Linked DNA regions of Macaca fascicularis. The protein of the gene in region 4 purifies or fractionates together with the protein of the main gene of each other region. This does not show direct contact. Links are inferred from orthologs where the notes say so. Each region holds a gene or a part of one and is shown on either strand. Other genes may lie near its edges.

Region 1 (4,049 bases), on a different chromosome or scaffold from region 4:
CCACCTCCCGGGTTCAAGCAATTCTCCTGCCTCAGCCTCCTGAGGAGCTGGGATTACAGGCATTCGTACCACGCCCAGCTAATTTTGTATTTTTAGTAGAGACGGGATTTCTCCATGTTGGTCAGGCTGGTCCTGAACTCCCGACCTTAGGTGATCTGCCCACCTCGGCCTCCCAAAGTGATGGAATTACAGGTGTGAGCCACTGTGCCCAGTCACTCTTTGTATTATCTTTTTTTTTTTTTTTTTTTTTTTGAGACGGAGTCTCGCTCTGTCACCCAGGCTGGAGTGCAGTGGCCGGATCTCAGCTCACTGCAAGCTCCGCCTCCCGGGTTTACACCATTCTCCTGCCTCAGCCTCCCGAGTAGCTGGGACTACAGGCACCCGCCACTGCGCCCGGCTAGTTTTTTGTATTTTTTAGTAGAGACGGGGTTTCACCGTGTCAGCCAGGATGGTCTCGATCTCCTGACCTCGTGGTCCGCCCGTCTCGGCCTCCCAAAGTGCTGGGATTACAGGCTTGAGCCACCGCGCCCGGCCCACTCTTTGTATTTTCAATGATGATTCTTGAGATTTCAGTGAGTCTTCAGGTGTCAGTGAATGGAATGGCTGAACATTTTAAAAAGGCTTCAAAACTTGTGATACTGTGAACGTAGGATGTCAGTTCAAAAGAAATGATGCCGTGACTGTAGGGTATCACTGAGATGCCAGTGATAACCTGCCCGTGTCACATGTTGACTCTTTTCTCTCTTAATTATAGGTGATCATGGAGCTCAGCTTGGTCTCCATGGGGCTGGTGGTGATGGAATACATGATGACACAGCAGGTGGAGAGGAAGGAGAAAACAGCCCAGATGCCCAACCCCAAGCCGGTCGGAGGACCCGGCGGGAAGCATGCACCTGCCCCTACTGTAAAGACAGTGAAGGAAGGTGAGTTGACCCAGCAAGTTTCTTACAAATATGAAGAAAAAATAATAGGATTTGGAGGAAAGAGGAAGAAGGTTAATTTTTTTTTTTTTTTTTTTGAGACCGAGTCTTACTCTGTCTCCCAGGCTGGAGTGCAGTGGCGCCATCTCGGCTTACTGCAACCTCTGCCTCCCGGGTTTAAGCAATTCCCCCTGCTTTAGCCTCCCAAGTCACTGGGATTACAAGCATGTAATCCACACCTGGCTAATTTTGTATTTTTAGTAGAGATGGGGTTTCACCAGGTTGGTCAGTGAACTCCTGACCTCAGGTGATCTGCCCACCTTGGGCTCCCAAAGTGCTGGGATTACAAGCATGACCCACCGTGCCTGGCCTTGGGTTTTTTTGTTTGTTTGTTTTTTGTTTTTTTGTTTTTTTTTTTTTGAGACAGAGTCTTGCTCTGTGGCCAGGCTGGAGTGCAGTGGTGTGCGATCTTGGTTCACTGCAACCTCTGCCTCCCGGGTTCAAGTGATTCTTCTGCCTCAGCCTCCTGAGTAGCTAGGACTACAGGCATGCACCACCATGTCCAGCTAATTTTTGTGTTTTTAGTAGAAATGGGGTTTCACCACGTTGGCCAGGGTGGTCTCAATCTCTTGACCTTGTGATGCACCCTCCTTGGCCTCCCAAAGTGCTGAGATTACAGTTGTGAGCCACTGTGCCCAGCTTAACTTTTAAATTTTTTATAGAGATGGGATTTCCCTGTGTTGCCCAGGCTGGTCTCAAACTCCTGGGCTTAAGCAGTCCTCCTGCCTTAGCCCCACAAATTGTTGGGATTACAGGCGTTAGCCACTGCACCCAGCCTAGAAGCCTTTTTAAAAATTTAATTTAATTTAATTTTTTTTGAGACTGAGTCTCGCTCTGTCGCCCAGGCTGGAATGCAGTGGCGCAGTCTCGGCTCACTGCAAGCTCTGCCTCCCAGGTTCACGCCATTCTCCTGTCTCAGCCTCCCGAGTAGCAGGGACTACAGGTGCCCGCCACCACGCCTGGCTAATTTTTTTTGTATTTTTAGTAGAGACAGGGTTTCACCGTGTTAGCCAGGATGGTTTCAATCTCCTGACCCTGTGATCCGCCTGCCTCCGCCTCCCAAAGTGCTGGGATTACAGGCGTGAGCCACCGCGCCCAGCCCCTAGAAGGCTTTTTAAAAGGAAGCCTTGGTCCATCGCGGTGGCTCACGCCTGTAATCCCAGCACTTTGGGAGGTGGAGGCAGGCAGATCCATCACCTGAGGTTAGGGATTCGAGACCAGCCTGGCCAACATGGCGAAACCTCATCTGTACTAAAAATACACAATTCAACTGGACATGGTGGCGTGCACCTGTTGGTGCACTGGACATAGTGGCGTGCATCCTAGCTACTCGGGAGGCTGAGGCAGGAGAATCATTTGAACCTAGGAGGTGTGAGCCGTGATCATGCCGTTGTACTCCAGCCTGGACGACAGAGTGAGACTCTGTCTCAAAAAAACAAAACAAAAAAGAAGGCTTTTTCAAAAAATAAAAGTTTGGGTTAGTTTGGTGTAGGTTGGGTGACTGTTGTTGATACTTTGTGGTTCTTTAGTTTCTGTCTCTAGAATGAATGATAAATAGTTGTATCCTCACTTTCAGGGGCTCGGGGGATCCTGGCAAAAAGAAACAACATATTTGCCACATCCAAGGCTGTGGGAAAGTGTATGGCAAGACTTCACACCTGCGGGCACACTTGCGCTGGCATACAGGCGAGAGGCCATTTATGTGTACCTGGTCATACTGTGGGAAACGCTTCACACGTTCAGATGAGCTACAGAGGCACAAACGTACACACACAGGTGAGCAAGAGCCTATGGGAGAAAAATAGAGTAATAGCCTAGAATGAAAAACACAAAATATACCTACAAAATAACTAAAATTTCTGAACAACTTAATTTGAAACTAAATATATGGGTCACAAATGGAATTGGAGTTAATCTGGAAACCTTTTAAGAAGGAAGGAGGAGCTGCGCACAGTGGCTCACACCTGTAATCCCAGCACTTTGGGAGCCCAAGGTGGGCGGATCATGAGGTCAGGAGATCAAGACCATCCTGGCTAACACGGTGAAACCCCATCTCTAAAAATACAAAAAAATTAGCCGGGCATGGTGGCAGGCTCCTGTAGTCCCAGCTACTCGGGAGGCTGAGGCAGGAGAATGGCAGGAACCTGGGAGGCGGAGCTTGCAGTGAGCCAAGATTGTGCCACTGCACTCCAGCCTGGGCGACAGAGTGAGACTCCGTCTCAAAAAAAAAAAAAAAGGAAGGAGTTGGGTGCGGTGGCTCACGCCTGTAATCCCAGCACTTTGGGAGGCCGAGGTGGTTGGATTTCTTGAGGTCAGGAGTTTGAGACCAGCCTGACCAATATGGGGAAACCTTGTCTCTACTAAAATTACAAAAGTCAAGCGTGCTGGCGCACACCCGTAATCACAGCTACTCGGGAGGCTGAGGGAGGAGAATTGCTTGAACCCAGGAGGTGGAGGTTACAGTGAGCTGAGATTGTGCCACTGCACTCCAGCCTAGGCGACAGAGCAAGACTGTCTCAAAAAAAAAAAAAAGGAAGGAACTAGATTTTGAGTGGGATGTTTTGAAGGCAAAGCGTTGAAACCATTACTCTTAGTCTCTGCCCTGCCTTACTTTTCTGCTAAGTTCTACCCTCCTTACTGAGTACTCCCCAACCTTTATCTACTTTTCTTCCCCACGCCCCCACCAAAGGAAAAGATACTTGAAGATTTTTCTTGTTTTTAATCATCTTCTCATACTGGTCTTACTCAGCTTAGTAGAGTAATTACTGAACTGGGTAAGATAACCTCACTTCCTAACATGTCAGCTTCTTATCTTTCCTTCCTTTACCTAGGTGAGAAGAAATTTGCCTGCCCTGAGTGTCCTAAGCGCTTCATGAGGAGTGACCACCTGTCAAAACATATCAAGACCCACCAGAATAAGAAGGGAGGCCCAGGTGTAGCTCTGAGTGTGGGCACTTTGCCCCTGGACAGTGGGGCAGGTTCAGAAGGCAGCGGCACTGCCACTCCTTCAGCCCTTATTACCACCAATATGGTAGCCATGGAGGCCATCTGTCCAGAGGGCATTGCCCG
Region 2 (4,521 bases), on a different chromosome or scaffold from region 4:
AGGCGGAGCTTGCAGTGAGCCGAGATCACGCCACTGCACTCCAGCCTGGGAGACACAGCGAGACTCCGTCTCAAAAAAAAAAAAAAAGGCACAAAGCACTCACAGAAAACTAAATACAGAATTCACTCTACATATTGGCCAAAGGGAGACAATTTCTGGATACTGAGCAACACACGATTTATGATCTTTCACGAAAACCGATGGATGGGCCCGCGGTGGCTCACACCTGCAAGCCCAGCACTTTGGACGGCTGAGGTGGGCAGATTGCCTAAGCTCAGGAGTTCAAGACCAGCCTGGGCAACATGGTGAAATCCCATCTCTATTAAAATACAAAAAAATATATATATATTAGCCAGGTAGGGAGGCACGTGCCTGTAGTCCCAGCTACTCGGGAGGCTGAGGCAGGAGAACTGCTTGAACCCGGGAGGCAGTGAGCCGAGATCGTGCCACTGCACTCCAGCCTGGCGACAGAGAGAGACTGTCTGATAACAAGATGTGTTTATGTTTGTGGCCTGGGATTTGGCTTATTTAGCTTTTCATAAATGTTCTCTGTTCTCAGGTCATGACCCTTTGCCCAATGGTTTCACTGCGGAGAATTTATAGATGTGACTGAAAAAATATAAACTACAAATAAATTCACTGGATAACCTATTTTTTTAAAGTCATTTACTTAAGAAATTAATATGGAACCCAGAGTCTAGCAGTCGGTCAGTTTTGTTTTCTGATTCTGCAACCTGTGGCATATGGTTTTCTTGGCACGTGTGACCTTGGCATTTTGCCTATATTTACACAGACTGACAGGAGTTTAAGGCTGGAAGGAGCATTTATTTTATGTGAGGTAAAAGGTCATGTCAGGCTTGCTTGAACCTGTGTGTACATGTGGTTAATTCCCAGTCACTTCCACGTATATCCACACACTGGCAAGGGCCAGTGAGCATGAAGCAGCAGCAAGCCCTCTCAGAAGTAGCACTTGACCTCTGTTCTACAAAGAGTGCTAACAAACAAGTGGAAATTGTGATCCTATCATTATCTAGTTTTTCATCCCATCCTTCCCTATATGAAAGGAAAAGCTCTTGAAATAGTCCATTCTGGCAGGGTGCAGTGGCTCACGCCTGTAATCCCAGCACTGGCATGGTCAGCCCCAGGCCAAAGTGGGCAGATCACTTGAGGTCAGGAGTTCAAGACCATCCTAGGCACCATGGAGAAATCCCCTCTCTACCAAAAACAAAAATTAGCGGGGAGTGTTGTCCCAGCTATTTAGGAAGCTGAGGCACAAGAATCGCTTGAACAGGGGAGGCAGAGGCTCACCGGGAGGCAGAGGTTGCAGTGAGCCAAGATCACTCCACTGCACTCCAGCCTGGGTGACAGAGTGAGACTATGTCTCAAAAAAAATAATAATAATAATAATCAATTTTGTTTGGCAAATTCAATACCATTCCCTTGAGAAAACTGGATCCCACAATCAGAACTAAAAATCATCACTACAGTCAAGCTTTTAAAAAAGGAAAAGAACTACTTAACCAGATGCAAAGGTATACATGACAAAACAAAACAAAAATTTTTAATGGTGTTACTATTCAGTGTTAGGAAATGAGCTACAAATCTCACATCCTAAAAACTCTTCAAGTCTTTCTGAAAAATACCATGTCATTCCTTCAATAATTAGTTATTTCGCCTCCTTTGATCACCATGTATTTAACTAGGTGTACTAGGTGCTTGAGAAACAAAAATAGGACACTTCACCTGTCTTTGATAAGGTCCACAGAAATAACGCCAATGCAGGCTGAAAGCTAAAATCCTTGTCACTCTCAAAAGCCAAGGACCTATCACTTGCACCCTAGAACTCCAAAAGGTTCACAGAGTCGAGGTGAGGGCGCCCAGGTCACTGCTCAGGTGCTAGAGTTAACAGGCGACTAAATGCACGTATAAACAGCAGTCTGAGAAGGAAACTCAGACGGAAAAAGTGTTGTCAACTGTCACCTACATCTTCCCAACCCCGCCCCCCAATCCTTTTTATAAATAAATGGAGGGTTTCTGAAGGGAACTGTCCAAGGTTACCTCCTGATACTGTGGAATGCTCTGGTTTGGGATACCCATGAAATTGTTTATCTATTCATTGAATACTGCCACACAACATCTAAAAGTTGACAAAGTGTCAACCAAGGCACATAGAATATAAAATAAGACCTCTTTCTCAACAAGATTAAAACGCCAAGAAGAAACTGACCGAAAGAGGGAGATCTCTAACTTCCCAAAGCAAGGCAACCCCCTGGAAAGGTACTGGAACCAGCGGAAGTTACATATCCAGGAGAGAAGTGTCCCCCTCCCCAGGGGTAAAACTTTGAACCGCCATCTGACTATCCCACGGTGGTCGGAAACTTCCCTCAACAACAAGAAGCAACCAGACACCCAACAATCTCCGCCCTTGGCTAACCCCATGTGTCCTCAGGCCAGGCTGTCGCTTCCTCCCCGGGCCCTGCCTCCTCCATCTCGCTCCCTTCCCAGGACACTCAGTAGCCGGCCTCGGCTTCCAAAGCCGGCCTGGGTCCCGGGGTACCTGGAGGCCGCCGGGCTCGGTCCCGGGGGGACATCGGCCTCAGGCCAGCTCTCCAGGAGGCCCGTCGCGCCTCTAGTCCCCGACCGGGCCGCGACCCCCGCCCCGACCGCCCCCGGGGACGGATCCCGCGGCCCCCGCCCTGCCGCCGGCCTCACCTCCTCGGCGTGCTTGCGCAGCGCCTTCTCCCGCTCGTACTGGGTGATGAGCTGCTCGTTGTCGTCCCGCAGCAGCTCCAGCTCCACCTGGTGCTCCTGGTCCTGCGCGAACACCGAGTCCAGGTTCTCCAGTACAGCCACCACCAGCGGCATCAGCTCCTTGACCACCTCCTCGTCGTAACGCCCGATGAGCCGCTCGAACTCGCGGTAGATGGAGCCGGCCAGGCCGGACACCCGCTCCGACATCACGGCCCCGGAGCCGCCGGGTTCCTCCTGATACACCACACCGTCCTCCAGCTCCATGGTGGCAAGCGGGCGGGCGGGCGGGCGGCCCGGGGCGTCGCCGGCTGAGGGGCGGCACCGGCCCGCACGGGACTGGCCCGGCTTGGGCTGGGACGGGGACTAGGGCTGGAGCCCGGGCCGGGGCTGGGGCTGGGCCCGGCGGGGTGGGGGTCGGGGCCGGAGGAGGGGAGGGGTGGCGTGTGCGCTCTCACCCCAACCGCCGCTGCACCAACTGCCGGGGCGGCCGGGCCGCGCGCGCCACACGTCATCCGCGGGGCGGGGCTGGCGACGCGTCGGCCCGATGGGCGGGGCGCCGCGGGAGGCCAGGCGCGGCCGGGGGCGGGGCCATGCGTCTTCGGGCGCCGGCGGAGGAAGCCGTGGCGTCAACACCCGGCGCCGCGAGGATGATGCGGGCGCCAATGGGAAAGACTGCGGTCGGAGGGTGGGAAAGTGTCCATCACGGCGGGATTCGCGGGGCGGGTCCCAGGGGAAAGGGAGGGGTTCGGGAAGAGTGACGAGTTAACGTAGCTGGTATTTCTATGGATTTTTAAAGCTCACAAAGCACCTTCTCACTTCATCCCCACAACGGGCGTAAAGCGGCAGATGTTTGGACCTCGTTTCACAGACAAAGAAACTAGGCCCGGAAAAGTGGCGGTGCTCTCAAGGTCACGCCCCTGGAACGGGAAACGGGCTGAGCCGGGACTCAAACCAGTTCTCCAGATTGAGAATTCCGGGCTCCGAAAAAAATGGGAAACAGAAAGGGAGGGGAAAAAACCATAACCAGGGTCTACCTAAGTGGAAAGGTGGTCTCGACTAGAATAAGGCTGTTTTGTGCTATGGAAGAGCAAGGGTGAGATGAGGGGAAATTGGAGTTACTGCTAATAGGTATGGGATTTCCTTTTGGGATAATGAAAGTGTTCTAAAAATTGATTATAGTGATGTATACATAACTCTAAATATGCTAAAAGACATTCAACTTTACACGTTAAGCGAGTGAATCATATGGCGTGTGAATTATATCTCAAGTTATTAAAAAATAAACAGGAAGGGTGATAGCATTCTGGAGAAGGGTGAAACTGAAAAGTTACATGTTGCACTTTCCCAAATAGTGTGTCTGCTACTTCTGGCCAACTTGGGACGGGGACATTTCCAGGCTCCAGCCACCCTCCTTTCCTCAAGTCTCGAAGTGGGGCGGAAAGGGTAAGTGGGAGGTTGGGGAGCAGAGGAGGAAAGGGGTGGAGTCACTGGAGTGAATAAGTCCCATGACAAGTGAGACTTCTGCCGCCTGGCAGAGCGTCACGTGTGGGGAATGGCACAACGCCCACGCCAGAGCGGGCTGAGTCAAGATCGCTTCCCGGTGTGCTCACCTGACGTCCGCAAATGGGACGGAAGACACTCTCAAAAGTCCCTTCTCCCCGCCTTAGGTGACTCATTTCTCCGTCCCGACTCGTTTAAGAAAAGGGGGAGGAAAGGCAGGATAAACATAGATTTAGGGGGAGAACTGGCTACCCACCGGGATCATAACTA
Region 3 (4,049 bases), on a different chromosome or scaffold from region 4:
CTACTATTTCAACTGCTACAACCATAGAAAGAAACTACCTAGCTCTTTTATGTTTACTAAGTAGTAAAAATGTAGTAACCAATTCAACTGTGACATGGTTGCAAAAGGAGATTAACCTGATGAACAAACATTTCAACTGGTACCAAAGGAATTTTCATACTTGTGTAAAGGTGGACAATACCAACATGCCCAAAGAGTTTGATGGAATGATGTAAACTTTCTGTGGTTCCAAAACACCGGGTGATAGGTTACCTTTTGGAGCTTTCAGACTGGAGGATATACAAAGAGTTAATCAAACTAGCATATTGTTTTCACAGAAATTTTTCTAAAAAGGATTTAGAGACTTTTATAGCCAGAAACAATTAGGGAATACTTGTTTCACTATTTCCTTTAAACCAGAAGACGGCTGTATATTTAAAATAAAATTGCAATATGAAAGTCTGCTAAAAGCACTTTTTTTGTTGTTTGTGCATTTTGTTTGTCACCCAATGTCACACTAACAATTCTGCATCTCATTCCAAAGCACATTATACTTAGAGATAAAATGAAAAAGACCATTTTTTGTTTCCCCAAGGGGAAAGTACTTCTGTTAAAAGCATCTTTTTATGAGACTATTCTTTCTGAATTACCAATAATGCAAACCAAAGAATTAGATACTGTACTCTGAAATTTAATATTTGTTCAATTCTTATTCATATCCTATAGTCATCCCATGTGTACAAGGGAAAAGTATGATAAATGCTTAAACGTACTTAAGAACCTGAAAGATTGAACATTTTTGTCCTTCAATCAGCAGGCTGTCAGGTCATGAGTACTCATTTTACAATAAAAGTTTTCCTGCCTTTCCTATTATTCTAACTAAGCTCAGTTAAAAAGAAATAGATTGGCCCACAAAGAAAATGGCCACACTTTTTGTTTTCATGAACCTGATTGTATATACAACTTTATCTTTATTAAAGGTAGACAATCTGATTTCAAACATTATATATAAAATCAAGAACTAAAGAGTTTTTTTAAGAACTTGAAAATAATGAACTGCTTAGAACTACATTCGTAAGTTTGAATATCAGGATCAGAGATGAAATAAGAAATGAAATTAACGAAATTCGGATGAAAGAAATCCATCATGTTTTGTTTTTTTAAATGCTTACACATAATACTTCATGGCGACTTAAAACAATTCCGTTTTCTCATAATACTCAGGAATAAGTATGCTTTTCCAAAGAATCCAATTAGATGTGCGTGCAAACTGTCATACTGGGAACCATTACAAACCAGTAAAAAGCACAATCTAACCTTGAACATTTTTTTCCTTCTGATGTCCAACTAGCAATGGCCAGAAATAGTGAGTTCTGATAGGAAAACCTTCCTCCTTCACAGCCTTCATTAGGGCTTTTGCCAAATCTGAAAGAGATATCATAAAATATCACAAAGCTACCTCAGCAAAACTTCCTTACGTTGGCTTTAACTTTAAGAATGTAGTACCAGTTTTTTTGGCAAGTAAGGCACAATGGAGGGTGAACTGCAGAGGAAAGGAGTGCATCTGGATTTCCTTTAACTTCTTACAGTAGTCTGTTAGCTTCTCCACAGGCTGTGGGAAAAAAGTCACCACATTAGCTGGATTGGCAAACATCTTACCATTTGAACTGCTGCAAATATTCTATCACTTCTTGAGATGAGCAGTTTAAATCCCGCACTTTTTCTACCCAAAAATCTTGCAACACAAGAACAAGGTTGTTATAATGTTCACAACTGGTCTAATCTCATAAATATTCCTATATTTTAAAGAATCTTATTTCACTGCCAATTATATTGTCTACAAAGTAAAAGTGGACAGAATACCGTATTCATAGTCACACAGTGTCGTAAAAAGAAACTGCCAAAGTCACTTATGCCATCTTCCTTTGATATAGGGCATGCTAGTAAAATTTGCAAAGCTACATCTTCCAATTTTTCAGTGACTAAAAGTAAAATGAGGTTCATTGCATCTGGGAAGAAAACAAAGACATCTTTTGTTAGTAAACTGAACAATGTTTTTACACTGCAACCAATGTTCCGATACTAAAGACAAAATAAGAATTGCAAACATCAAAAGCATATATCTGCCTAAATAACAATAAAACACTTGCAAATCAAATCATCCCCATGTATTCATTAACTCATGTTTTTGGGCTTATTTAACTGACTTTAAGAGTTCTATGTTCAACTCCCACAATGCCCATTGTTAGAAAATGTCCTTTCCATCATATAAGAACAGCAATTCAGATTTTTATAAAAATCATGTAAATAGATTTTTTAAAAACTACCTGGAATATATCTTCTTTCACATGTAACTTTTTCCAAAATTTCTGAGACATACTGAGGATACCCAGCTTTACTGAAGCTAAAAATAATTTGGAATAAATCACGGTCCATAAGGTGAAGCTCGGACTTCTCGACCTTCTCCAGAGTCTATAGAGAGTTCCAGAAATTAGAAGACCAAGTTAGAGTGTTTTTATTTAAGTATTAAAGTTAAATAAATTAAAATATACAGATTCAAAACAGTAGGGAAAAACACCACCTAAAGCTTTAGGACTTCTTTTAAAACATAAGAAATACTCGGCCAGGTGCGGTGGTTCACGCCTGTAATCCCAGCACTTTGGAAGGCCGAGGAGGGTGGATCACGAAGTCAGGAGATGGGGACCACGGTGAAACCCTGCCTCTACTAAAAATACAACAAATTGGCCAGGCCTGGTGGCGGGTGCCTGGAGTCCCAGCTACTCGGAGAGGCTGAGGCAGAAGAATGGCGTGAACCTGTGAGGCGGAGCTTGCAGTGAGCCGAGATTGCGCCACTGCACTCCAGCCTGGGTGACAGAGCAAGACTCCATCTCAAAAAAAAATAAAAATAAAAATACATAAAAAGAAAATACTCTACTTCAACAATAACTGTTATATTATCAGCACCAAGATACTGAACTATAATAATTCTCCATAAATACTACTCTCTGCAAGGAAACATCTTTGAAAACAGGTATAAACTACACTTTGCTGCCTCATATAAAACATAACACAAGTTTTTACAAATGATTTTAAAGTATGTTTATTTAGACATAAGTCATACCTGCTTAACATGGTCAATGTCGCCCTTCTCAGCATATGCATTCAATAATGCGAGGTATGTGTCTGGACCAGGCTCAATTCCAGCCTCTCTCATCACTGTGAGAATGTTTTCTGCATTCTGCATATCACTACAAGTTAATCCAAAAAACAGATTACTTGCCAAATGTAATATAGTTATTCAAACTAAAACATACGCTTATTAAAATCAAAAATGCTAAGTATCATTTGGAATTATGATGTCAGAAAACAAATGTATATTAAACTGGATATATGTTTCTCAAATAAAGATCATAAACATCTGATCCCTCATTAAGAAAAATAATAATTACGCAGACATTAAATAACATATACCCTCTTACATTATACAGGTTACGACTCAGACTTAACTTACAAGGTAAGAATAACGTTTAGTAAATTACTCTTCAAAAATAAAAATATTGTGGCTCAAGCCTGTAATCCCAGCACTTTGGGAGGCCGAGACGGGCGGATCACGAGGTCAGGAGATCGAGACCATCCTGGTTAACACGGTGAAACCCCATCTCTACTAAAAAATACAAAAAACTAGCTGGCCGAGGTGGCGGATGCCTGTAGTCCCAGCTACTCGGGAGGCGGAGGCAGGAGAATGGCGTGAACCCAGGAGGCGGAGCTTGCAGTGAGCTGAGATCCGGCCACTGCACTCCAGCCTGGGTGACAGCGCGAGACTCCGTCTCAAAAAAAAAAAAATAAAATAAAATAAAAAAAAATAAAAATAAATAAAAATAAAAATATTTTCCAGAGCAGTTACTTCAGATCAAGCCCAGTTTCTTTTTTCTTTTCTTTTCTTTTTTTTTGAGATGGAGTCTTGCTCTGTCTCCCAGGCTGGAGTGCAATGGCACGATCTCGGCCCACTGCAATCTCTGCCTCCTGGGTTCAAACAATTCTCCTGCCTCAGAATCCCGAGTAGCTGGGAT
Region 4 (4,582 bases):
GAGTTCAAGCGATTCTCCTGCCTCAGCCTCCCAAGTAGCTGGGATTACAGGCGCCTGCCACCAAGCCCGGCTAATATTTTGTATTTTTAGTAGAGACGGGGTTTCCCCATATTGGTCAGGCTGGTCTCCAACTCCTGACCTCAGGTGATCCACCTGCCTCGGCATCCCAAAGTGCTGGGATGACAGGCGTGAGCCACCGCACTCGGCCCACAAAATTTCTTAAAAAGTCGTTGTGTTCAGTCTTTATGGATCCTCTGAATTCCACCTGCTCAGCCTCCAGGAGCTAAATGAGATCGCTTAAAGGTCAACTGTTGGGTGCCTCCAAGGTCGCCCCAGAGGCTCCTGTCATAGGCAATCAAATGAATCTCTGTTTTTACTTTTGGTTGTGCGCGTATGTGTGGTTTTTTTGTTTGTTTTGTTTTGTTTTTTGTTTTTGCCAGAAAAACACTCCACCAAGAAGGTTTTTATAACCTAGTGGAGGAGGAGGACGGAGAGTGGGCACAAAACGACTAGGATGAACATGCTATAAGGAATCTGAATGCCACTGCACTATTGCCTGGTAAGGACCTGATTACCGATATTTTAAAGCTAAGCTTTCAGTTGTCACTCGACCCACTAGTGAAACAATGAGCTCTAAAATATATGTTTCAGCTCAAGATTTCTTATGTGGGGAGGTAATGCAACCCAAGGTATCCCCAGCCTGTGCCTAGTACAGCGCCCAGCACTAAAGCAGCTCAGATGCCAGTGAACGGTGGTCACTGGCAGGCCTGTCAATGGGTGCCAGTAGCGGTCTCTTCAGAGAAAAAGAAAACTCCCCTCTGCCAGATCAGTATTTTATGAGCTGTAAACCAAAACCATTGCTACCACCATCACTATAATTCTATCCACAGTAATTATCATAAAGGCCTAACAATGCCTTGTAGATGAATATTGAGTAACTGCCCTATAACGAGGATATTTAAGACCGCACCAAAAACCAGTAGAGGGTTATACTTTACTGGACACAAGTCGGTTATGATAACGAAATTCTAGTTTAATCTGTGAAGAGATCTGAATGTAACCGAGACACATTTAAATGGAATATACAGATGAGCTTTATTTTTATATCTGGCATGCTTGGATCCATGCCGACCCTCCAGCTGCTCGGGCCTGCCCTTAGGGGCTATGGACCGCATGACTCTATCAGCGGCACCGCCGCCGCCTCCGCGCCGCCTGTGTTCCCGGACCACTGGGCCCGGCTGGCGCTTCCTGGGGGCGTCCCTACCGGCTCCAGCCCTCGGGATTTGGGAGCGCCCGGCTAGGAAGCCAGAGTCACGCCGGGGATCCCGGCGTCCAGGCCGCCTAACGCGCGCCCCTCGCCCGGCGCCCCGAAGCGGCCCCGAGGGGCGGGAGCCCAACCGAGCAACGAGGCCGGGCCGGGGGCGCACGGCCCCCAAAAGTGCGGGCTTCCCCCACCCCCGGCAGCGACCCCACCTCCCGCCCCCGCTGCGTGCGCGCGTGTGTCCGTCTGTCTGTATGCTCTCTCGACGTCAGTGGGAATTTCCAGCCAGGAAGTGAGAGAGTGAGCGAGAGAGAAAGAGAGAGAAGTGCACCAGCTAGCCGGGGCAGGAAGAGGAGGTTTCGCCACCGGAGCGGCCCGGCGACGCGCTGACAGCTTCCCCTGCCCTTCCCGTCGGTCGGGCCGCCAGCCGCCGCCGCCCTCGGCCTGCACGCAGCCGCCGGCCCCGCTCCCGGAGCCCAGCGCCGCCGAGGCCGCAGCCGCCCGGCCAGTAAGGCGGCGCCGCCGCCCGGCCACCGCGCGCCCTGCGCTTCCCTCCGCCCGCGCTGCGGACATGGCGCGGCGCTGACTGGCCTGGCCCGGCCCCGCCGCGCTACCGCTCGCCCCGACCCGCACCCGGGCCCGCTCGGGCTCCGGCCGGCCACCGCCTCTTCCCTCTCCAGCCCGCAGGCCCGCGCCGCCCAGGAGGGAGAGACCTGCGCCAGGAGGCCGAACGCGGACTCGCCACCAGGGTAAGCCAAACTCGGGCGAGTGGGGGCCCGGCAGGGGACGCGTGGCTCGAGTCCCGCCATCCAGCTCTCCGCACCCCCTCCAGCCCCACTCGGACTTCCTCATTCCTGCGCTAACCGCTGGGCTAGACCGTGGGAGGAGGTTGACAGTAGTGAGAGGCACATGGGATTGGCGACAGCGGGGTAAGGCACATCCGGACCTCGCAGGGGCTAGTCGGCCGAAGGGCCGTGGCTGCCCGGCGCTCATTTCTCTTCACGTCCCTCCGCGGGGTGGGAATGCGAATCGGAGGGGAACTCTTACAAACTTTTAAAATCCCCCAACCCCAGCCCCAGCTGGGGGATAGTGAGAAGGTTGAGGTGCGCTGCGGCGCGGAGGAGAGAGGGAAGGTGGTTGGTGCAGTGCAGAACCAGATTTCACCTAAGGGCGTTCCATGAAATGAAAGAAGAAGTGCTTGTCAGTCCTCCTGGCAGGGAAAGCCCTCTCCAGCTCCCCAGAATTGAATAGGAGAGTCTATTCATCCCTCTCCTACTTCTAAAAGAAGCCTGGCCCTCTCTCTGTCTCTTTTTCTCTCCCTCCCCCCACCCCTCCGTACACACACACACACACACACACACACACACACACACACACACACGATATAGTCACCTGCTATAGGACTTGATTCTGATCCTCTGGGGCCTGGCATTTGAGAGAGAAAATAAATTACCTAGTTGGATACTTAGAGCACTTTTTAGACTTGATTATGTAAAATTCTTGGACAGTGCCACCATGTATTATGCATGACTTCTGAAACAAAAACAATGTAAAAACAAAGCCTATCCTAAATGTAAGTTTTTCTATGGTCCTTAAAAACAGACACCAGGGAATGTTTGCCCTGACTTACTGGTCTATCCTGAAACTGAAATGGGACTTAATGATACAGGATTTAATTATCAAGATTTGAGACATTTTCATGGACTTTGTTAAGTAGAGGTTTTCAGCATTACAGTTTATGAAATAACCATATTTAACTCAAAGATTTTGTTATAAAGCTTATAATCTGAAAAAATGCTTATGGTATTACTAGAACATTTAATAACTCTGGCATCAAAATATTCTACACACTGGTGATCTTTAGTAAATACTAAAGGTTAGGGTCAAGATGTTCAATAATTTTCTTCTAGCAGAATCCCACAACTGAATATTGTCAAGCAGTTTAAACTGCATTCGTGTTTGTTAAAACTTTAAAAGGGAAACTTAAAATTGAAGTATGTTGTTTTTCTGATTTTAATTTTGTGCTTTCTAGAGATGAATCCTTTTACTGCTTGAGGCACTATGGGAATTATGTGTTTAAATGTATGTATTTAAATTTGAAGCAGTGTACTTTTTTCAGTTTATAAACTTGGGAAGACAGGAAATGAAAAGATTTATTTCCTGTAGAATTTTACGTTCATGATTTAATTGAATTGCTGAAATGAAAAGAACATATACGATGAATGGAGACTTGGAATCTGAGATTATTCATCCATATTGATACACCTGCAATTCCTAAATGCCCTCCCCTGCTTGTTTAGATAAAATGTCTTCCTGGTCTGCAACCTACTGGACAAACTTGAACACAAAGGAACACACGTTTTATGTACATTTAATACTGGAACCGAAAAGCTGCTTGCAGTGAAAAGCAAACCACTTCTAAACTCTTTGACACTTTTTAAGGAAAATAGTATAATCGTTTTGGGGTTGGTGGTGATTTGAAAATCTTTTATCTTTTTTTCTGAAATTTCATTCTTACGTTCGTCGTTGGCACTCACTTGTGCTGAGTAAATGCCCCTGTTTTTCAAACCCAGATAGTAAATACTGGGGTATACATACAAAAATAGTCCTTCCCCTTTGTAAGCATTGCTTTGATCTTTGCACTTCCTTTTTACTCTACCTCTTAAACAAGATCTGTGATGACTGAGTTGATTAAAGCACAATTAATCTTGAAATAGGAAGAATTTTAGATTTAGTGATCATATTCCTTACATTTCTGTTGTTACTGTTCCTGGAAACAAATTGAAGTAGTGTGAGAAACTAATTATTTATGTAGGTTGTTTTAGCTACACTTTTAGACTTGCAGATAATTGATTAAGTAAGTTACTACCTTGACTTTCAGGGATTGCTCATTGTGGTAGATACGAGGTCTAGATAGGGAATTGGCAGCTACATGAATGTTGGACTATCATTCCATCAGCAAGACCTTATTTTTACCTAATTTATGAGAGGTATTTCTCTCTTCAGAAGAGGTGAAAGTTCTGGCTTCTGAGGGGAAGTGATTACTTCATAACCTTCAATTGGTTTGAACTTGGGAGAAGTAAGAAAAGTAGTCGATATTTTCAAACAATAAAATAATTGTGTCTGAGTTGCTGTATGGATTTTTCATGAAGTACTCAAAAATGTCATCTTTTTCATCTTCAGGTCTTAATAGATGTGCTCTTCTGAGCATAGAATTGACTGCAGTAGGAAGTGTATCTGGAAATGCACAGTACTGTTGTATAACCAATAGAGTAAATACTCAGATTATGCGCTTCTAGTCCACAGATTGATCAGAAATCA
Region 5 (4,049 bases), on a different chromosome or scaffold from region 4:
AGGCTGCAGTTGTTTCCAGCTCTGACACCACACCATCCACCCCAGGCCTGGAGCAGCCACATAGCCAGAGCCTGACCCTCAGCAAGTTCTGGGTCACATACCCTTCAGATAGGGTCAGACCTAGACAGGGTGGCTTAGACGCTTCCCCACCAGCACCAAGGCCAGCTCCTCCAAGAGCCTACTCTGAGCCCTGCTGCAAACCTGCTGTCCTCTACTGTCCTCTGCTGCCCTTGGCCTGGCCTTGGCATATGGCCAAGGTGGTAGGCGCCAAGTCTGGGCTGGCAGGCAGCAGTAACCAGAGCCCTCAGCTGCAACTGGCCCGGCGCACCTCCCCACCAGCTTGATGCAAATCAATAGTTCCCGCAGCAGCAGGACGGGCCTGGCCCCACTGCTGCTCTCCACTTGCAGCTCAGTTCCACCCTGGAGGCAGGACCACAGCAACTGGCAAGGACTTGCTGTGTGACTTAGCACAAGACACTCAGCCTCTCTGGGGACACCCTTCAGATCAAAACACTGCCCACAAGGGCAGAAACAGACTACATGAGCCAAGAAGAGCCACCACGAAGGGTGAAGACAGTGTGTGGTAGGCACTCTGCAAGGGCCAGGCCTAGGGTAAAATCCTCAGGCTCATGATACTTGCCCTCTGCTCCCAACTAAATGTCCCTTCCTCCAGGAACCCCCATGAATACCCTCTGGGCACCTGGCCAACCTCCAATCTGTGCTCCCACTGGACTCAGGTGTCCAAGGCCGAAGCCAAGGCCAGGGTCTGGCACCAGCAGAGAGCAAAAAAGAAGCAGAAGGACATGGTGCTGGGACAAGGCTGGAGGTCAGGGAGCTAGCTTTGAGGGCAAGGGACAGAGTATTCAGTCTGCATGAGCTGCGGCAGGCCAGGAAGATGGTGCCACCTCTCACCATGACCCATGTAGAGCGTCCAGGCCCAAAGGACACATGTAGGACTGTGGGCAAGGTGGAGGAGGGGGAGTCCCAGCCCGAGCATCCTTGGGCTGGAAGGAAGCAAGGAAAGTGGAAACCCCAGGGGACAAGTAGGGAGTCTGGGACCCAATGGGGGAACCAGAGAGGGGCTGAAGAACTGGAGAGTCTGAAAGAACCCATGGGTAGGGGGTAAACACCCCCGCCTGCCTTGCTCATGACTCCACCAACCCAGATACTCACTCTGGAGGCTGGGCAAATTGGCATCCTCAAGTTTGGTTTTCAGCAGATGTGGCAGCCGTGTATAGCGGTACCCGAAGCCACAGCCCTGTGGAGGTGGGGGTCGGTGCTCAGGTCAATGGGACAGGGCACCCTCTCCCTTCAGCCAGTCTCAGCCACCTCCCCTTGAGTCAGGCTTACCCTCCAGAGCCGCACCAGGATCCAGTTGGTCTGGGCCCAGGGCCGCTGCTCATAGGGTGCCAGGAGGTTCCTCACCATGGCGATACGCCTGTGAGGGCAAGGAGGGGAGAGACATGGGGTGAGGCTGGGCACGGTGCTTGTGGCCAGGGTGTGTGCCTCCCAGGCCCCACTCACTGCTCCTCAGGGATTCGCTCCACAGCCCGCAGGGAGTGTGGGTAGCACACGTAGCTGGCCAGGGCCTGCATCAGCGAGTCTCGGATGTCTGCGGGGAGACGCCGTGCCTCAGTAGGGGCTTGGCATGAGCCCTGGACCCATGTCTCATGCCCACCTGGCCACATTTTTCATAGAAGAAAGCCAACCAGAGGTGCCATCCCATCCCCTTCCCCCTGTACCCTCTGTAGGGCCCCTCACCAGTGCCCACGATGCGTGTGTCAGCAAAGTGTTTGGCGAGAATGGCAGCCAGGCGGGTCAGTGTCTCTTCATAGCCTGCAAGGGTAGGAATTGAGACGTGTTGGCTAGGAGTGGGGGCTCCAGAGGCAGGCATGTCAGCAGGTTGGGTGGGCTTGGGTAGCAGGCTCTAGAGCTGGCTCCCAAGCCCAGCCTGGACCCAGGCTGGCATCTGGGGACATCAGGCAAGGCATTCATTGGTGGCTGTGGAGGGGCTAAGGCATAGGCTCACTGTGAGGGGATGACAGGCCCTGGCAGGAGCCCTGACCTGGGCTCAAACCCATCTCAGCACACACACCTGATGAGCAGTCAAAGCTCCTTGGGCACCCACAGCTCTGTCTTTGTTTTTTATTTTTATTTTTTATTTATTTATTTTTTTGAGACGGAGTCTCGCTCTGTCGCCCGGGCTGGAGTGCAGTGGCCGGATCTCAGCTCACTGCAAGCTCCGCCTCCCGGGTTTGCACCATTCTCCTGCCTCAGCCTCCCGAGTAGCTGGGACTACAGGCGCCCGCCACCTCGCCCGGCTAGTTTTTTTTTGTATTTTTTAGTAGAGACGGGGTTTCACCGGGTTAGCCAGGATGGTCTCGATCTCCTGACCTCGTGATCCGCCCGTCTCGGCCTCCCAAAGTGCTGGGATTACAGGCTTGAGCCACCGCGCCCGGCCTACAGCTCTGTCTTTGAAGACAAAGCCTACACCGAGGCCTGGGGCTAGGCAGGGTGTGGGCTAGGGGCTATGACAGCTCACTGCCTGATCCAGACATACACAGTACAGCTTAGCCTGGAATCAGTGGGCTGCGAGAAGCCCAGGTTCGGATGTGGACCGTAGCAGGGTCCACCCCCTGCTGTGATTTACCAAGACAAACCATTCTGCCCCTGACCAACTGCCACGCTTTGTGACCAGTGCCAGGGAGTCAGGGTGCAGGGCCAGCTGGCTGCTGCACCACAGCAGTTGCTCATAGCACTAGGAAGGAAGTGAAAGCCAAGGGGTCTCCACCCACTGTGTTCCATCTTGTCTGTTTTCCTTTGCCAGGGAGCTGTTGGATCTGTGGCTGCAGGTCCCAGGGCAGGGTGCAAACATTTGTTTGCTGCAGGGTGAACCACAGAGGAAGCTCCTCCCCTCCCTGCCCCCCACGGATGTGTGTTGCTGGGCCACAGAGGTCTCAGACCAGGGCTCCTAGGGCTCACACTAGAGACCCCTTTTCTGCTTCTGCCCCAGCCTGAATGGTTCCATCACCTGGGAGCTCCTCCATGCTGTGCACGGGACCGAAGTAATTCTTGAGAGCACTGTAGCTGTTGATGGCCACGCTCAGGTAGAACTCGGGCATGAAGGCAAAGAGAGACCCTGTGCGATCACCGTGCTCAATGGTCTGCAGGCAGACGCGCAGCAGCCAGTAGATGTCCAGCATCTTCTCCTGCAGGAGGCACATGGGGTGCTGCTGGGTTGTGCACCAGTGGGGTCTTGGGCTCATGTCCTGGCCTGGGGATCAGGAAAGGCCTCCCCAGGCCTATGACAGCACAACTGAGACCTGGATTTCAGGAAGCACGAGCAGTGGCTTAAGCAGGGCAATCGAGTCCTCAGCAGGCAAGAGGGACGCACTCAGTCTGGAGGGCGTATTACTGCAACCCAGCCAGAACTCTGGTCAGCATATTTGTAAGCAAGTTCTTTTTTTTTTTTTTGAGATTGAGTCGCCCAGGCTGGAGTGTAGTGACGCCATCTCGGCTCACTGGAACCTCCGCCTCCCAAGTTCAAGGGATTATCTTGCCTCAGCCTCCCAAGTAGCTGGGACTACAGGTATGTGATACCACACCCAGCTAATTTTTGCATTTTTAGTAGAGATAGGGTTTTGCCACGTAGGCCAGGCTGATCTTGAACTCCTGACCTCAGGTGATTCACCTGCCTCAGCCCGTAAGCAAGTTTTAGGCAAGAGAGTGCTGTGACCAGAAGTCTGTGTTGAAAAGTGGAGTACAAGATGCATGGAGGGCCCAAGAGAGCTGGCAATGGTAAGCAGGCAGGCAGAAATTTGATCTGGAGTGCAAAGGAGAAGGTGGTGGGAAGGCAGGGGGCAGTGTGACTGGTGGAACAGAGGTCACAGGAAACAGACAAAACCTGCTGAGGGCCCTGCTCCCCACAATGTGGTTTCCACAGAGTCCATGTCAGGGAGCCCAGGCAAGAATGCGGCCTCAGGTTCCAGCCCAGACCCACAGCACCTGTGTGTCTTGGAGTGCGGTCGGAGCACCTGGGCTTCACACCA
Region 6 (3,979 bases), on a different chromosome or scaffold from region 4:
AAGCTGGGGACAGCAGACACCAAGCCAGAACAGTACGTGTGGTTTCGTATTGCTTTGTCACCAGCTGCTCTTCACCATAGATGCTTACGCTGTCACAGCCCTGGTGCTGTGTTCAGCCAGGCCTGGCACCCACTGAGCACACAGTCACTACTGAATTGTGATGTAGGATTAAGAAGCTACCACTCTGGTCATCTAACCCCTCCATCACCACCAACAGACTGAATCGCGGGTTCTCAAACTGAGGCAATAACCAGGAAATGATGATGATTAACATCTGGGATTCAGAGTGAAGTGACTATCGGTTATGTAAGCAATCTTTTCAAAAAGCAAGAAGCCATCTTTTCTATCACAATTCAACCGGTTAAAATAGTTTAACTCTGCAATTCCATGAAGCCTATAATTCTTTATTCTGGTTTGTCTTAGCAGATAACAGCTCCCACTAATGACAACCAGTTTTTTTAAAAAAAAGACTGCAATAGCAGATTCAATGCATTGCTGGGAACAGTTAGAAGTGCTCTGTAACAAAAGCAAAGGATTTCTCCCTCACATATAATCTGTTTTAGGCTATACTTTTTTTTTTTTAACTAGCTTGATTTTTAAGTCATCTGGCTATAATTTGAGTCCTCCAAAGTTGACAAACCTTGATCGGTAGATGTATGCTTTAAAATGCCCCACTTCACGTGAAGTTTCAAAGCTTATTTAAACTCAAATTTAAAACAGTAAAGATACTGTAGTTCATGTGGAAAGCTCTTTAAGATTTGAATTGTTTTGAGATTGACATCTCTGCTTCAGCTGTGAGAGGGGACAAGGAAGGACTATCCCTACTATTGACAGAGGCAGACCAAAGAGAATCTCTCACCACTGCCCTCAAAGCTCCACCAAACTAATTTGGTGTTTCAAGTTCCCTGATATGACCTGCAGTCTGAGTGCTAGACCTTTGTCGGTGCTGTCCTCTGGAACATCTCCCCATCTCCTCATCCAGGAAGCAGCAGAGGTGAAGAGTTCCTCCCCCTCAACACATGGGCACTTCACCTCTGTCATATACTTGTCCTATCTGTTGACTCATTCATCCCCTCATTAGCCTCTAAGGACATTAAGCATCTTTAACCCTAGGCCTAGAACACTGTTAATAGCCCCAAATCACCACAGAATAAAATTTTCTTGCAAACCCTAGTTTATTATTAAGCCTAAATTACTCCAAGGTACTTCTGGGTTAGCTACATACCCCTCTTATAGCACAAAATCTACACTAAAATATTTTATATTTGGCTCATGATTAGCTCCCAGGGCTCTGGTAAACCAAACAACTTCCACCTCTAAAGTTACATACCTGGAAGATGGAGCATGTACTGACCACCCAAAATCTGCAATTTTAAGCTCTCCAGCTGATCCAAGAAGTAAGTTCTCTGGCTTAATGTCTCTATGAATAACTCTCTTCGAATGACAGTAAGACAAGGCATTTGCCAATTCTGTTATATACTGTTAAAAAAATATTGAAAGCCTGTGTTTTAGATTTTGTATAACACAAGTTAATATTAGACATCTCTTCTGAAAGGAACACAACATAGATTTAACATGGTTTGCAGGTTTTGGCCAGACACAGTGGCTCCCACCTGTAATCCCAGCACTTTGGGGGACTGAGGTGGGAGGATCACTCAAGCCCAGGAATTCAAAGCCAGCCTGGGAAACATAGCAAGACTCCATCTCTGCAAAAAAAATTTAAAAATTAGCCAAGCATGATGGTGTATGCCTGTAGTCCCAGCTACTTGGGAAGCTGAGGCGGGAGGATCGCTTGAGCCCAGGAGGTCAAAGCTGCAGTAAGCCATGATCACACTTCAGCCTGGGTGACAGAGTGAGACCCTGTCTCAAAAAGGAAAAGACAAAACAAAAAACACATATTGCAGGTTTTGAAGCAAGCATCGTAGAAATTATACATGAGTCTACACACACACAAACACACACACACACACACACACACACACACACACAGAATCAACTGAACCAATTTATAGTGGTTAGCATGAAGTGAAATTACCCAATGTTTAGTTATCGCTTTGCTAATACAGTTGGTGTGATGTTGAAAGACGGAAAAGACATTCAGCTAGTTAGAGCTAGCTCTTAGGTTGGTGCCATTTCAATGCAAAACACAGTTACTTCTGCACCAGCCTAACAGTTACACCCCCATACGGCAACAAACGGCCCTGCGGCAAGGAAGTAAGGCAGTGCCGAAGACCTGGTACAAATTAAGGATTCAGGTGTGTAAATACTGCCTTTTTCTTTTTTAGAAAAATAAAATTAACTTTTCAAGTATAGTCAATTCCTTTTTTTAAAACCAAGATCATTCTGTGACAGAATAATTTGTTTAAAGCTAAAAATTTACTTCAAGAATATCAGGAGAAAGAAATTATCCTGAACAATAAACAGAAACTAAAAAGCAGTTGCACTGACATATTAAATAGCATGTTAAATTTTGGGTTACACTAAGTCAGCATAGAAGTACATAAGAAATCAGTCCTTTTGTTAATTTTATTTCCTTAAGTTACTATCTTTTTTTTTTTTAATAGAGATGGGGGTCTCGCTATGTTGACCAGGCTAGTCTCAAACTCCTGACCTCAAGTGATCCTCCCATCTCAGCCTCACAAAGTGCTAGGATTACAGACATGAGCCACCGCACCCTGCCAAGTTACTATCTTGTAAGAAAAGTTTGCCTGGCTGGGCACCTGTAATCCCAGCACTCTGGGAAGCCAAGGCAGGGGGATCACCTGAAGTCAGGAGTTCGAGACCAGCCTGACCAACATGGTGAAACCCTTTCTCTACCAAAAATACAAAAATTAGCCGAGCGTGGTGGTGCATGCCTATAATCCCAGCTACTCAGGAGGCTGAGGCAGGAGAATTGGTTGAACCCGGGAGGTAGAGGTTGCAGTGAGCCGAGATCACGTCATTGCACTCCAGCCTGGGCAACAAGAATGAAATTCCATCTCAAAAAAAAAGCAAGAAAAAAGAAAAGTTTTCCAGTCCCTATCTCTAAGATTTAGCCAACAAATCTAGTATGTATGTATGTATGTATGTTATTTACTTATTTATTTTTAAGAGACAGGGTCTCACTCTGTCACCCACCCTGGATTGCTACGGCATGATCAGACCTCACTGCAGCCTTGAACTCCTGGGCTTAAGCAATCCTCCTACCGAGTAGTTGGGACTACAGGTGTGTGCCACCATGCCCAGCTAATTTTTAATGTTTCTTTCTTTTTTTTTTTTTTTTTTTTTTGTAGAGACAGAGTCTCCCCATGTTGCCCAGGCTGGTCGCTAATTCCTGACTTCAGGTAATCCTCCCATCTTGGCCTCTCCAAGTGCTGAGATTACCAGTGTGAGCTACCATGCCTGGCCCAGAATTTATTTTATCATACAGGTAACTGTTTGAATATTGAAAAAATATATTTAGCTCTGCCTAAAGTTTGAGTTTCCTTTCTAAAGCAATTGCTAGACAGGATTGAACATTATTTTACATCAAAAAGGTTTACTAAACAGATAAGTAAACACCAAGTGTCACTGGCAGAAAAAACACTTTTCATTCTTTCAGTCCAAAGCCAGAGATCAAAATTCAGACCACGATAAACTGAAGTCAAATACAAGAAAGCTGCTCTTCTGACTACACCGACTTTGAGTTGCTGATGCTTTAATTGCACACATTAAAGTTCAAGAGGCAATGGACTTCACTCCTCCAGTCATTTCCAGACAAGAAGCTATTAGTTTCGCCATGGCTCTCTGGCACTGCTACTCCCTCCACACCTCACATGTTGTTAGACTGCAGGTATGGATAGGTCACTGACGTGTCACTACAATTAGTTTTATTTGAATTCATCTGAAAAGGAAAACAGGTACATGCGTATTCATTCTAACTGCAAAGGAATCTAGACAGAAATAATCTTTCATTTTCTTTCAAATAGCTATCTGCTCACACCAAAACTCCATCTAGATT
Region 7 (4,660 bases), on a different chromosome or scaffold from region 4:
CCACTGTGTGCCCCCACAACACCCTGTTCTCAGTTCTGTCTTATCCCAACCACTCTGAGCTGTAATTGCCAAGGAGCTTTTTTAGGACCATGGGATTTTTTTTGTTGGTCATAGGGGGGTGGTTATGGGTTATTACTGTGATAGTCAGTTTTGCTTCCAATAGAAAGAACAAAGTCAGACATTACAGGAGACCTTCCATACATGTTTAACAAGTGGGTGCATGATGGATGAATAAAATGAGGTTGCAGGGGAAGGGCAGTGGGAAAACTGGCCTCTCCCCTGCAAAATGTTGCTATCTACACTCATCCACCTTCCTTTCCCCAATGCTGGAGATGGAAAAGCTACATGTTTCCTTGGGGATAACCCTGTAAGGGCATTGCTGGCGCTAGGCTGATAGCACTTGGAGTAGTGGGGAGGAACAAGGGAATAAATCATGGGGCATGGGCTTAGGGCTCACTTGTAGTGGGGTTCTCCCACGGCCTTCCTAAGCCTAGGGACAGCGGTTTTCGTACTAAGATTGGGGCTGTGTTAGGGACCTGAGCAGAGTGCAACCAGCATATCTGGGGCCTCCCCAGTCTGACCCCACTTCCTTGACTGCTGGGGTTGACCAGAAACTGTAACTACCCAAGGCCAAGATTTCACCCTTTGAGGAAGAAGAAACCCCATAACCACTTTGCTTTTTAGACAACAGTCTCCATGAGAAGACGCTCTTTCCAAAAAAATTTTTCATGCCCAATTCCATGTGATGTAGGACGTTGACACAGCAGACTGTCTTCGAGGACCCAGAAGAACTGCTCCTTTAAAGATAATGGGAGTCCCCTTTCCCTACCAATATTCCTGGGCACTGATAGGGAAAGATGAGAAAGCAAGAGAAATTGAGATAAATGGGCAAGGGTTAGGAAGCAGTGCTTCCGCAACCCATCACCTACATGCCCTCCCTCAAAGATGCCAGCTTGTACAGACAGTTAATAGATATTTCTTTTAAAACAAATGAATGGTCCGGGCCTAGTGGCTCGCAGCCTGTAATCCCAGCACTTTGGGAGTCCGAGGCAGGCAGATTGCTTGAACCCAGGAGTTCGGGACCAGCCTGGGCAACGTGGCAAGACCCCCGTCTCTACTTGTAGTCCCAGTTACCCGGGAGGCTGAGGCAGGAGAACCGCTTGAACCCAGGAGGCGGAGGTTGCAGTGAGCCGAGATCGCATCACTGCACTCCAGCCTGGGCAACAGATCAAGACTTAGTCTCGAAAAAATAAAAAATAAAAATAAAACAAATGAATTAAGAAATAGAAGTGACAGAAGGAAACAGTACATGCGTGGAACTAATGAGTGAAGGAGGAAGGGGGAAACGGTGAATGAATGAATGAGTGAATGAATCAACGAAGGAGTGAGTCAAGGCCCGGGAACCACAGACTCCAAGCCTACGCAGAGCCCGGGAAGGGGGATTCCGGAGGGGCGGGGCCTCTTTCCGGAAGCGCCCGCCGGGGGCGGGGAGGGGGCGGGGCCACCCGGCTTGCAGCGACCCTGTTGGTCCGGAGGGGCGGGGCGAGGAGGAGGACCCGCTTGGGCGGTTCGGCTGCCCACAGTAACCGCTGGGTGGACCCGGCCAGCGCTCCGAACCTTGTCCTCGCTGTGCGCCGGCCTCTCGGAGCCCCACAGCCCGGGAAGGAGGCCGCCGCGGGCCTGGCGCCCGCTCTGCCAAGCGGACCCGCAACCCGGAAAGGCGGCGCGGCAGAGCCCGTAGCCGGATCCTGCTTAGACCGGGCCCCCGCGGGCCAGCGCCGCGGGCATGTCGGAGGCGCGGAAGGGGCCGGACGAGGCGGACGAGAGCCAGTACGACTCTGGCATTGAGTCTCTGCGCTCTCTGCGCTCCCTACCCGAGCCGACCTCGGCTCCCGCCTCCGGGCCCTCGGACGGCAGCCCCCAGCCCTGCACCCACCCTCCGGGGCCCGCCAAGGAACCACAGCAGAAGGAAGACGCGGATGGGGAGCGGGCTGATTCCACCTATGGCTCCTCCTCGCTCACCGAGAGCCTGTCCTTGCTGGGGGGTCCCGAGGCTGAGGACCCGGCCCCACGCCCGCCACTCCCCCACGTGGGGGCGCTGAGCCCTCAGCAGCTGGAAGCACTCACTTACATCTCCGAGGACGGAGACACGTGAGTATGGGGGCTAGGCGGGATGCTAACTCTGGGCCTGCCCAAGAGCCGCAACAGGCCGGGCACCCCTACTCCCCCGTGAGGATCCTTCAAGTCCCCATTCACTGTTCCAAACTCCAGACTTAACTCTCAGCCAACTTTTGAGGTCCAGCCAGGCCATGGCATCATCTCTGTTCTCCCATTTCGGGGTGGGCAGAGCTGGCAGGACCCTTAACTCAGGGACCCCAGCCAGCATCTTGGAAATCTACCAATAATCCACCCTTAGGAAGAGAAAATTCCCCTGACCGAGTCCAGTTTTTTTGTTTCTTCTTGCTGGGGAAGGGGACATCCTTATTTGCTCAATATCTGGGATTCCCAGTTCCTGACCTCAGAATGCTCTGTCTCCAGGAGCAACAGGTGCCAGTTACAGGTTGCCAGTAGGGGCCAGGAAGCTAGGCGTGGGGGTGCCACCAGGGTGTAGGATTGGGGCTGGTCCTCAGGAGGAGGGGGTGAGCCAGGCTGGGGCACTCTTGCCCCAGCAGACAGATAGGCGGCTGGCTGCCCCAGCTTACTTCCTCCTCTGCTAAGAAAGGGGAAGTGAGGGCTAGAGTCAGCGTCCCTGATATCCTCTACCTCCAGAGACCCCAAGTCCCACTAACTGTTGTGTCTTACTCCCTCACTTAACCCTTCCTCCTTCAGACCCAGGTGGAGTTTTGTGGGAGTGGGCCAGAGGGCAGTTGAAGTAAAAGGCAGTTGTGTGTGATGGGTTGGCCAACTGAGGATTTAGCCCCCCAGGAAGAAGAAAACATTGACACAGGAGGGAAAGGTTGGGATCTGGGGATGAGAAATAGAGTTGGGGAGGGCTAGAATCCCTGATCAAGGGTGCTCATATAAATAGGAGTAGGGGAGGCAGGAGGTGGCTGTCCTAACCTGCTTTTTGGAGATGCAGGGTCCCAATCCTGGGTGGCCATTGATAAAGATAGCTGGTGCACACAGTGGGTGGGAGAGGAGTGACCCAGTCCTTTCTGTACTCTGCCTGGATCACCAGCCCTCAGGTCCAGAACCCCAAGGTTTTGGGGGCTGCATGCAAGATACCTCTGATGACCTTTGATCCAAGGAGAGGGAACTTTTGACACTGCCGTCTTTTGTTAGCCTCTCAGCCCCAGCCTTTTCCATCTCTAGTTAGAAGCAGGTGTTGTGTCCAGACTGGGTGTGTGTGTGGAGGGGAGAAGTGTCCGGGCTTCCCAGCGAGTCCCCAGAGAGGAGGGGCACTTTCCTCCCTCCGTTGGAGGTGTCTGGGCTGTGGGAGGTATGGAAGTGGGAAGAGGAAGTGGGAGGAGGGGATACTGGGGAAGAGAGGGAGGTGGCTGCAAGAATGTGACCCAGAGAGCAGGCCCTGGCCGAGGGGATTTCCAGAGCAGTTCCTCCCTCCCTCCGTCACTCTCCTGGGCCTCTCCTGCTGCCTGCCGCCGAAGCCTGCCGCCCTCCTGCCCAAGCAGTCCCCTCCCCAGTCCAGACGGGCCTTTTAGCCAAGCTACCCCCCTCACTCATGCCCCAAGGCAGCTGTCCCGGCCTAGACCCTCCAGCACTGGCTTTCATTTTCCCCACCTGACGTGGGGAAACCCCGAGACTGGAACTTCCCCTCCCAACTGCCCCCATTACCCCTAGATTAAGGTTCTTGGCCCCCTCAACAAATACATTTTCTGCACTACAAAGACCTCCTCTTGGAGGTGCACACAGGAATGGATGGCCTCTGTTAGGCCCGACCTGGTCTGTGCTATCTGAGAGGTGTCTCTTGACTCCCAGGGAAGGGCAGCAGGACAGGATGCTGCACTGTCTCCTTGCTCCTCTTCCAAGAGTTTCTGTGTCTCTCCCTTGGAATGTGTTAACATTGAGTTGCTTGGGGGTATGGGGTGACCCTGCATCTGTCTCCTTTCCTGTGAGCTGAGGTAGTGGGGTGCTCGGCCTGGAAACCCCCTCTGGACTACTTCGGCAGCTTTCAATTTGGCTTTGAGCTGCAGCTGGCCGGGCAGAGCCCTGAGGGCAAAGAGGAGTGGGTGTGGGCAGGCTGGACAGGAAGGCCCTTGTCCTGTCAGCACCCTGCCCACATGCCCATCCAGCCAAGGCCCTCCTGAAGGCCAGCAGTGGGAACTTGGAGCTCCAACCCCTAGGATCCTGGCTTCCCACACCAACCCTCACTTCCTGGCCCACACTCTCACTTCCTGAACCTACCCTATGGGTAGCTAGTTAAAGTTTGATGTGTTCCTTCTAACCCCAAGACCCCAACCCACTCCCTCTGGCCTGGGCCCTAACGCTGAGCCCCGCCTCTGCTCCCCTAGGCTGGTCCACCTGGCAGTGATTCACGAGGCCCCAGCGGTGCTGCTCTGTTGCCTGGCTTTGCTGCCCCAGGAGGTCCTGGACATTCAAAATAACCTTTACCAGGTTGGTGGCGAGAGAGGGTTGTGCCTAGATACCTGTTTGTGCCCTGGCAGCCATCCCCAGCAGGCACACCAGTCCAAAGGCTGCTCAC

The links.
Region 1: the proteins of NFKB1 (region 4) and SP1 purify together in Homo sapiens (affinity purification with western blotting, with the first as the bait; 3 studies listed by BioGRID). This does not show direct contact. The link is inferred for Macaca fascicularis from reciprocal best matches to the Homo sapiens genes NFKB1 and SP1.
Region 2: the proteins of NFKB1 (region 4) and SPAG9 purify together in Homo sapiens (affinity purification with mass spectrometry; 5 studies listed by BioGRID and IntAct, with this or other methods). This does not show direct contact. The link is inferred for Macaca fascicularis from reciprocal best matches to the Homo sapiens genes NFKB1 and SPAG9.
Region 3: the proteins of NFKB1 (region 4) and LRPPRC purify together in Homo sapiens (affinity purification with mass spectrometry; 3 studies listed by BioGRID and IntAct, with this or other methods). This does not show direct contact. The link is inferred for Macaca fascicularis from reciprocal best matches to the Homo sapiens genes NFKB1 and LRPPRC.
Region 5: the proteins of NFKB1 (region 4) and RNF123 purify together in Homo sapiens (affinity purification with western blotting; 4 studies listed by BioGRID). This does not show direct contact. The link is inferred for Macaca fascicularis from reciprocal best matches to the Homo sapiens genes NFKB1 and RNF123.
Region 6: the proteins of NFKB1 (region 4) and AURKA purify together in Homo sapiens (affinity purification with mass spectrometry; 4 studies listed by BioGRID and IntAct, counting the BioPlex papers as one, with this or other methods). This does not show direct contact. The link is inferred for Macaca fascicularis from reciprocal best matches to the Homo sapiens genes NFKB1 and AURKA.
Region 7: the proteins of NFKB1 (region 4) and NFKBIE purify together in Homo sapiens (affinity purification with mass spectrometry; 4 studies listed by BioGRID and IntAct, with this or other methods). This does not show direct contact. The link is inferred for Macaca fascicularis from reciprocal best matches to the Homo sapiens genes NFKB1 and NFKBIE.

The regions. Positions count from the first base shown.
Region 1 is NC_088385.1:60,209,392-60,213,440, forward strand, and holds part of SP1 (transcription factor Sp1), read left to right. Parts: intron 1-754; coding exon 755-923; intron 924-2,556; coding exon 2,557-2,756; intron 2,757-3,811; coding exon 3,812-4,049. UniProt on the Homo sapiens protein: Transcription factor that can activate or repress transcription in response to physiological and pathological stimuli.
Region 2 is NC_088390.1:55,588,649-55,593,169, reverse strand, and holds the start of SPAG9 (C-Jun-amino-terminal kinase-interacting protein 4), read right to left. Parts: upstream 3,232-4,521; 5' UTR 3,016-3,231; coding exon 2,713-3,015; intron 1-2,712. UniProt on the Homo sapiens protein: The JNK-interacting protein (JIP) group of scaffold proteins selectively mediates JNK signaling by aggregating specific components of the MAPK cascade to form a functional JNK signaling module.
Region 3 is NC_088387.1:78,088,168-78,092,216, reverse strand, and holds part of LRPPRC (leucine-rich PPR motif-containing protein, mitochondrial), read right to left. Parts: intron 3,228-4,049; coding exon 3,101-3,227; intron 2,452-3,100; coding exon 2,307-2,451; intron 1,989-2,306; coding exon 1,843-1,988; intron 1,592-1,842; coding exon 1,486-1,591; intron 1,405-1,485; coding exon 1,297-1,404; intron 1-1,296. UniProt on the Homo sapiens protein: May play a role in RNA metabolism in both nuclei and mitochondria. In the nucleus binds to HNRPA1-associated poly(A) mRNAs and is part of nmRNP complexes at late stages of mRNA maturation which are possibly associated with nuclear mRNA export.
Region 4 is NC_088379.1:108,167,946-108,172,527, forward strand, and holds the start of NFKB1 (nuclear factor NF-kappa-B p105 subunit), read left to right. Parts: upstream 1-1,555; 5' UTR 1,556-2,010; intron 2,011-4,582.
Region 5 is NC_088376.1:112,732,203-112,736,251, reverse strand, and holds part of RNF123 (E3 ubiquitin-protein ligase RNF123), read right to left. Parts: intron 3,324-4,049; exon of another isoform or gene 3,210-3,323; coding exon 3,032-3,209; intron 1,837-3,031; coding exon 1,762-1,836; intron 1,613-1,761; coding exon 1,525-1,612; intron 1,439-1,524; coding exon 1,351-1,438; intron 1,259-1,350; coding exon 1,174-1,258; intron 1-1,173. UniProt on the Homo sapiens protein: Catalytic subunit of the KPC complex that acts as E3 ubiquitin-protein ligase. Promotes the ubiquitination and proteasome-mediated degradation of CDKN1B which is the cyclin-dependent kinase inhibitor at the G0-G1 transition of the cell cycle.
Region 6 is NC_088384.1:112,407,427-112,411,405, forward strand, and holds part of AURKA (aurora kinase A), read right to left. Parts: intron 1,480-3,979; coding exon 1,331-1,479; intron 1-1,330. UniProt on the Homo sapiens protein: Mitotic serine/threonine kinase that contributes to the regulation of cell cycle progression.
Region 7 is NC_088378.1:127,251,850-127,256,509, forward strand, and holds the start of NFKBIE (NF-kappa-B inhibitor epsilon), read left to right. Parts: upstream 1-1,581; 5' UTR 1,582-1,786; coding exon 1,787-2,151; intron 2,152-4,469; coding exon 4,470-4,572; intron 4,573-4,660. UniProt on the Homo sapiens protein: Sequesters NF-kappa-B transcription factor complexes in the cytoplasm, thereby inhibiting their activity. Sequestered complexes include NFKB1-RELA (p50-p65) and NFKB1-REL (p50-c-Rel) complexes.